Arabidopsis thaliana: one gene and its partner. The protein of the gene in region 2 purifies or fractionates together with the protein of the main gene of each other region. This does not show direct contact. Each region holds a gene or a part of one and is shown on either strand. Other genes may lie near its edges. The genes, in order: AT3G60245 and AT1G26880.

What was found.
Region 1: the proteins of AT1G26880 (region 2) and AT3G60245 fractionate together in Arabidopsis thaliana (co-fractionation; one large-scale study listed by BioGRID). This does not show direct contact.

Annotation. Positions count from the first base shown.
Region 1 is NC_003074.8:22,267,019-22,270,809, reverse strand, and holds AT3G60245 (Zinc-binding ribosomal protein family protein), read right to left. Parts: upstream 2,123-3,791; 5' UTR 2,008-2,122; coding exon 2,005-2,007; intron 1,802-2,004; coding exon 1,762-1,801; intron 1,490-1,761; coding exon 1,401-1,489; intron 1,303-1,400; coding exon 1,220-1,302; intron 1,124-1,219; coding exon 1,060-1,123; 3' UTR 782-1,059; downstream 1-781. Other genes in the region: CKB3 (casein kinase II beta chain 3), read left to right, coding at 1-96; EIF4G (eukaryotic translation initiation factor 4G), read right to left, coding at 2,515-2,845, 2,932-3,126, 3,526-3,791.
Region 2 is NC_003070.9:9,314,499-9,318,434, forward strand, and holds AT1G26880 (Ribosomal protein L34e superfamily protein), read right to left. Parts: upstream 2,383-3,936; 5' UTR 2,184-2,382; coding exon 2,105-2,183; intron 1,982-2,104; coding exon 1,902-1,981; intron 1,664-1,901; exon of another isoform or gene 1,517-1,663; intron 1,432-1,516; coding exon 1,322-1,431; coding exon of another isoform or gene 1,300-1,321; exon of another isoform or gene 1,236-1,299; coding exon 1,142-1,235; 3' UTR 807-1,141; downstream 1-806. Other genes in the region: FEZ (NAC (No Apical Meristem) domain transcriptional regulator superfamily protein), read left to right, coding at 1-485; AT1G26890 (FBD, F-box and Leucine Rich Repeat domains containing protein), read left to right, coding at 3,091-3,879.

The DNA of each region.
Region 1 (3,791 bases), on a different chromosome or scaffold from region 2:
CACTTGTTCTTGATGACTTACGGGAACTTAAAGCCGCAGAAGCCTACTCAAAGCTATGTCCCAAAAATCTTTGGCTTCAAGGTACACAAACCATGATACTAGTGCTCTGCATTCTCAATGGTGATACATTTAGTGGCTCTGTAATTGCATCCGGATGAGCAACTGAAACGATAGCTGCGGTGACTGGAGCATACATCAACCATTGGGTTAGAGGATGAGAGCTGAAGTTGAAAGATGGAATCTTGAAAGAATCTCATGAAGTTCCAAGAAAACTTAGAAGTGCAACAGCCTGGCTCATTGGGGGAAAAGAACGACACACTTGGGTCTTGTTGTTGTCTCCGAAAAGATTTTCCCCAGTTAGTTGGATTTTGTTTTGAACTGTTGGATTATTATTCGTTTTTCTAATTTCATGTAAAACTCATAAATTTCAACTGAAGTATAACTTAGATCAATCAATTTCATCAAAGATCATAATGAGACATGTATGGCCATTAAAATACACTCAAGGGACCAATATCTTAGGATGATTACGACACAAAAGCATATAAACAAGTCAATATATAGATTTTATAAGAGATCATTGCCAGACATAAAAACCAGTAACGTTAGTATTTGTTTATTCACCGACTTTTGTGTAATTAAACTTAGTACACTCAGTTATAGATTGTATTATCGTAAGGATTTCTAGTAAAGCACTTTGAAAACACACATCAAACTCTAAAAATTTTGATCTGTAAAGACTCGTGCGAATACTGTTACCAAGTTATAGGGTTAAAGAAGTGCTGATCAAAATAAAGTATAAGAAACATCACATTAGATCAGGATTCAAGGATTTATAATTAGGTGTTGAATAGGATCAAACATTCAAAACCTCAAGCCTAACTTTAGGTTATATAGCTAGAACTATTGGTAATGAAACTTTGAAAATTAACTCAACAAAAAATAAAAACCTGCTTAAACTGCTCAATGTATAAGTCTTGATTCAAAATCACAAGCATAGAGTTTGCAAAACTTAAATTGTCAAAACAAGGAAACCAAATATAAAAAGCCAGCAGACTTTTAACCCTCGATCTGCTCCCTCAACCTTCTGATCGTGCTTCTAACAGTGACCGCACTGGCGGTGCTGCAATTCACAAACGAAAACAATTTCATCAGAAAACAAATCATTGATTGATAACCAACACAAAGCTAATACAAATATAACTCAGAAATCACTTACTTCATTGTGTAAGCACCACCTGCCTTGACCTTGCCACAATCCTTGCAACCCCAGATACCAACAGCCTTTCGCTTCACTCCGTACTGCAATCATTTTGATCAAACCACAGTTACCACAATAATCCAAAACCAAAAGAGATTTAGAAATGAAAACAGTAACTGAATGTTAATCTCTTTCATACCTTGCCACAGAACTCACAGAAGTACTTGCTGTGCTGGCTGACCTCCATCTTCTTAATCTGCTTCCTGATACTCGCACCATAACGTGTTCCTGAATCACATAACCATACATACGTTAGGAAGAGAACTCACAATACATATAATAACCAACTTAGACCCCAAAATGAAGAACGAATTGCAATATGAAACCAGTGTAGACAGATCCATTACATATTGACAACATGTAATCAAAAATGAACGATACATGTTAATATACTCCATTAAAATGAGCTACAAGACTAAGCAAATTTGCAGATCCTATCCTTATTTTCGATAGCATTAACATCCTAAGCGATTCAATAAGAGATGAGTCAGGAACATTACCGTATTTGCCGACGATTCCAACCTTCTTCGTTCTCTTCGCCTGTGAAACATCGAAAAAGAGTAATAGAGTCAAAAGACAAAATCACAAAACTAGACTTCTATCAGAATCCACAGATCAACTATGAAACTTGAAATCTCAAAACGAAAGCTAGAACGAGACAGAAGGAAGTATACTCGAATAACTTGCTATGGAATTACAGAGATTCAAGAACAATAACAAAAAGAAAGGATTAGGTTTTTCACCATTTTTCAGAGCAGGAAGGAGGAACACCACGCCGTCGTAGATGAGAAACCCTAATGAGCAAGTTCGCTTGTCACATTAAGCGTCTTTATATACGAATCGAATCATGTTAGGGCATTTTTTAATATGGGCCTTTGAACTATCATATATGGGCCATCAAATCAACCATAAAGACATAAAAGCCTTGTTGCTCATATGAAGTGCAGACTTTTTAATATGGCCCTTTAACCTCATGTGGTAATATAACTCCGATTTGATTGAATTTAATCAAAATTTATTAATAACGATATTGGAAGAACATTGAGCTCTCTGTGCTTTAAAACTGATGTACGAAAAGGTTAAACACAGAAATGAGAAATTTTGGAAGTTTTTTGCTATATAATAAAATAGAGAAACTCCCTTTATAACAAATTAGTTTTGTTTGAAGCACTTGAAAAGAGAAAAGACTTTTAAGAGAGAAACAAAAAAAGAGAAGAAGAAAGGAACCCAAAAGATGGTTCCATTTTTTTTTCCTAAGTAAATTTCTCTAATATCTTAGACCGGTTAGGTGCATGAGGTTTGAAATTTTCAATCCTCAGACCTGAGCTCCGGCGAATCTCAACCAACGTTTCTTCTCCAGCTTCTGTTTTTATCATCTCCAAAACACTCCCAAGAACATCGCCGCCTAATCCAAACTCTATCAGACTTCCTGGTTCTTCTCCTCCTTCCTGGATTAACCGACCAATCTCTGTCAATGTCACTACTTTCTCTGTCACACTTTTCCCAAATATTCTACCAAGAAACTCTGCTGCTTTTGGAGCATCATTTACTGCATCCTCCAGGGTTTTCAAAACCGATTCAAACCTGTGAAAAAAAAAGCAGTAAAAGATTTAAGCAACAGACGTTTGATTAGACTAGGGCTTCAAGATTTATGGGCTTTGTTTACTTACCCTTTCACTAGCTGGACTTCGTTTAAGGCGTTGTCAGCAGATTTCACGAGGTTCACAAGGAGCTTTGCTAAGAGATCCCTTTCTTTGTCTTTTCTCTCAAACGAATCAGTTACCCAGAGAGAAATCATTGTTGGGTGGTAAGCTGGTGAATTCATATCTTTCATGCACATACCAATCTCATTCTCATCTCGGGCACTGCACAAGAACACATTGGAACGCACCAGAGTGCTTATCAATAATAAAGAGGGTAAACGAATAGAAACTAACATCATACATAAAACGCACAGTCAGTAAAAAAAACAGAGTTTACCCCTGTATTAGAGATTCTATTAAAGTCAAAGAACAAAGTCTCTCATATGTATTTTTAAGCCGTTTTGTTTGGAGCAAATTCTAATTTACATACTTCAAGAAATATACACTTTATCAGATGATCTGTCGTTGTAAACAAACGCTCTAACTGTAAACGAATGAACTGTAATTTGATCCAATTATACCTACACAGGTTCCCACAGAATAATTTCCTAAATGTGGCAGTATCTGATGACTTTGCGAAGAATGAAACAAATGACCAGCAAGAAAGGAGAGATATAGTACCTGTAATATTCCTTAATTGCGGACAATGACAGATTCTCTAACTGTTCTTCAGACAAAGCATTTTCTCGAGGACTGTTTACTGTAGCTGATGGCCCTTGTAGTACTTGCCTAGCGGACGAAACTTCTGGTGACAGATCAGAAGCACGCGACAGACTTGCAAATTCCCTATGAACATAAGCTGTTCCCCGCTCTTGAGGACTTGACCGTCCGTGAGTAACAGGACTTGCAGGTCTATGTGAGCCAAAACCATTCAAACCACCGGCCGG
Region 2 (3,936 bases):
ACGACAAACCCACCAACGTTTTCAATCCGGTTTCATGTTTAGACCAACAATACCTCACAAATCTCTTTCTTGCCACACAAGAAACACAACCTCAGTTTCCCAGGCTCCCCTCGTCAAATGAAATCCCATCGTTTCTGCTAAACACGTCTTCAGATTCGACCTTCTTGGGAGAATTCACGAGCCATATCGACCTCAGCGCAGTGTTGGCCCAAGAGCAATGTCCCCCGCTTGTAAGCCTACCACAGGAGTATCAAGAGACGGGATTCGAAGGAAATGGTATAATGAAGAACATGCGTGGTTCCAATGAAGATCATCTTGGTGATCATTGCGACACACTTCGGTTTGATGATTTCACTTCAACAATTAATGAGAACCATCGTCATCATCAAGACCTGAAACAGAACATGACATTGCTGGAGAGTTATTATTCTTCTTTATCGTCCATCAATAGCGATTTGCCAGCTTGTTTCTCCAGTACAACCTGATGTATGTGGATAGATTTTCCCATCTCTGCCTTCTTGGCTTGCTTTTTTCAAGCTAGGGTATTTCCTCTTTGTAGGCTTTCTCTTTCACTAAATTAAATCGTTTATTAATTATGCTTCCTTGAGTTTTTATTTTTCACAAGCAACTTTGCTTTAATGAAGAAGGCATGAGGTAAGTCAAGATGAACAAGAGAAAAACTGAATCGAGTTTTACTATATTCAAAATAAAGACCAGTAAGTATATTATTTCTGGAGCTGACTTCATTAATCGCATACGAGACTGTCGTTGTAGAATTCCCAAAAATTGAAGCATAGTTAAGATTTAAGACTCAAAATTGCTATTCCATAGTTGTGTCATGACGCTGAGAACATTAAAGTGCAAGCTTGATTTAGCCTCCGAGAGATTCAGAAATATTATATTAACCAAGAAGGTAATCACAACAGCTTATGTGATATGCATCAACAATAGAACATTAAAGATGAATTCAACAATTCCAAAACTGAAGAGAAGAGAATTGTCGACAAAGTTAAGAACTGATAACAGAATACAAAGCTTAAAAATTGGTCGAGTAACATAGATGTCCTCACATGACTGCACCAAGTCCTATCACTTGAACATAGCCATAATTCCAAAACAGAGAAGAATAAAACATAAAAGCTTAAGCCTTGGGGGCTACTTTCTCCTTAGCCTTTTGGAGTTTCAACACTTTCTTCACAATCTTTTGCTCTTCGACAAGGAATGCCCGAATGATCCTGTCGGAATCCAAAAACAACATTACGTTAAAGAACACCAAATTTATTGTAATAGAAAGATGACTCAAGTAAGATGGACAACAAACCTTTCCCTGACTGCAGAACCAGACAAGACTCCACCGTATGCTCGGTTTACAGTCCTCCTGTTTCTTGATAATCTTGACCTCTTGTACTCAGAGGGCCTCAAGTGAGGGATCTGAATAAACAAACAAAGTTATTCACATAATGCAAAAGGAATATGCCATTGCATAATCAAACATATATAGTTGGGAATAAACTGAAAATTTATGCCAAAGGTGGATAGCAAATCCTTATGTAATACAAGGAACAACTTGAAAGACAAAGTGGCACCGACAATTTAGCTTATGATTTATGTTATGTACTGATGTGGGATTTATCTAATCAGCACAAGACCGTCAATAAGCACAATACTATTAACTAAGTAACATGGTTTCTTGAAATAAGAAGACATGCCCATTAAAAATGAGACTGATCAATACTCAAAACATTCTAAAACACTCAATCTGATTGATTTGGTTATACATAGCCATCAAATTCCTAAAAAATTCAAACTCTTAACTCTATCTAGACCTCAAATCAAGACTCTAGATACAAGAACCATGTAAACCAAATCACACGAAGCCAAATCGAAATCAGAAGACTTACTCCTTGAATACGCTTGCCAGTAACAGGACATTTGGGGCCACTAGCTCTCTTCTTTGTGGTTTGATACACCAATTTACCTCCTGAAATCAACAATCCCAACACACATTACACTATGAAGAACAGATCGGTGATTAGAGAATTATGAGACTAAAGCAGAGGAGATTGAAGATATCAAGGAAGAAGAAGAAGAAGAAGAAAGGGACCTGGAGTCTTGACGATACGGTGCTGGTTCGATTTGGTGGCGTAGCTGTGTCGCGACCGGTAAACAAGACGCTGCACCATTTTCGCCTCCTTTTCTCTTTTAGGGTTTTCGTTTGGAACGAAGAATATAAGGGTGAGACTCCAAACCTAAACTAAGACTACAACTATATGGGCCTTTTCTCATTTTGGTCTTTAATTATGCTCCAGTTAAAGGCCCATGTACAAATAATTAAAAAAAATTCAACTTGTAAAAACCAATTCTATTATTAGCTGCAATTAGAATAAGTATCGTTTGTATGTTGTAGTGAACAGAAACTAGAAACATTATTACCAATTTTTATTTTGATTTTTTAAGAAATCATAGATGCATTAAATTATACGTAGAACTTTAAAAAGATTAATTAGTATTATAATCCGTTTAGTCAAAACACATTCAATTTATTTTATCAAATAGTGTAACAACAAAAAATTTAAATTCATGGCACGTAAAAACATAATCGATACATTTACAAGGGCGTGGTGCAAGCAATTAGAGCAAGCCAAGTAGAGAAATTAATCAAGGTTGGCGGCAAAATTGGGAATTGGAAAATAAATTCATCCAAAATAACAAATGGAAATATAAGGACCAGGCTAGAAAATTTGGATTTTCAACAATTTTGTTTGGTTTGATGATTAGATTTTTAAGGGAAAAAACTAACAATTATGTAAGAATGAGAATCGATTGATATATTTTATGTGTGTCTATATTGCAGTTTTACTTTAAAAATTGGGCAACTTTAATTTAGTTTCTTTTTTTATATGCATTAATAATATATATATATATATATATATATATTTTTTTTTTTTTTTCTTTGAACAAATAATAAATATTTGTATAATAATTGTTTTTTTTTGAAAAAAAGCTTTATAATATAGACTCACTTTTGTGTCACAGCCAGCGACGAGAAAAAAGTTCCATTGGCGTCTAGCTAGGTATCCGGTATCCCACATGGCCACATCTATGGGTTGCTTAAGTTGTTGGTCTTTTTTTTGGGATATTATACACGACGATGAGCATATATCAACTGTTCCAGAAACCGAAAGTTGTCAGATAAACGAAACTAGAATCTGTGCTTTTCCTAACGATTTGCTCTTGCAGATCTTGCATCACGTCCCAACAAAAGAGGCAGTCGCCACTTCAATCTTGTCTAAACGATGGCGTTATGTCTGGCCGATGGTGCCTAGACTCGAATTCAAAGAAGATGACAGCGAGAGCGTGGGGTGGTTTATTGAAAAGTCATTGCAACTCCATAAGGCACCGAAACTAGATAGTTTGGTTGTGGAACTCGGTCCACATTGTCCTGTTGACGTAGATGTCGGAAAGTGGGTTGAGAACGTAGTTAATAGAGGTGTGAAAGAGTTAGATTTCAATCTCCTCTGGACCGCAGAACCCACAGGATTTCCTAAGTGCCTTTACACATGCAACACGCTCGTTGATTTAAGTCTATCCAACAAGATTCTAGTGAACGTTTCTTCCCCTGTTCGCCTACCATCTCTCTTAACTCTGAGTCTTCGCTTTGTGGTGTACAAAGACGAAGAATCTCTTGTTAGCCTTTTATCAAGCTCCCCTGTTCTCAACTGCCTGAAGGTGGATCGACATAAGGATGACAACTTGACAAAATTTACCGTGAAAGTATCTACCTTGAAACAGTTACATTATAATACTACTCGGCGGAAGGATGGGGTAGAGGATGAGGAAGACGTGGTAGAGGAAAATGAGGTAGAGGATGATGATGATGTAGATGAGGTAGAGGATGATGAGGAAGGTGTGGTTGAGGAAGTTGACGTAGGTGAG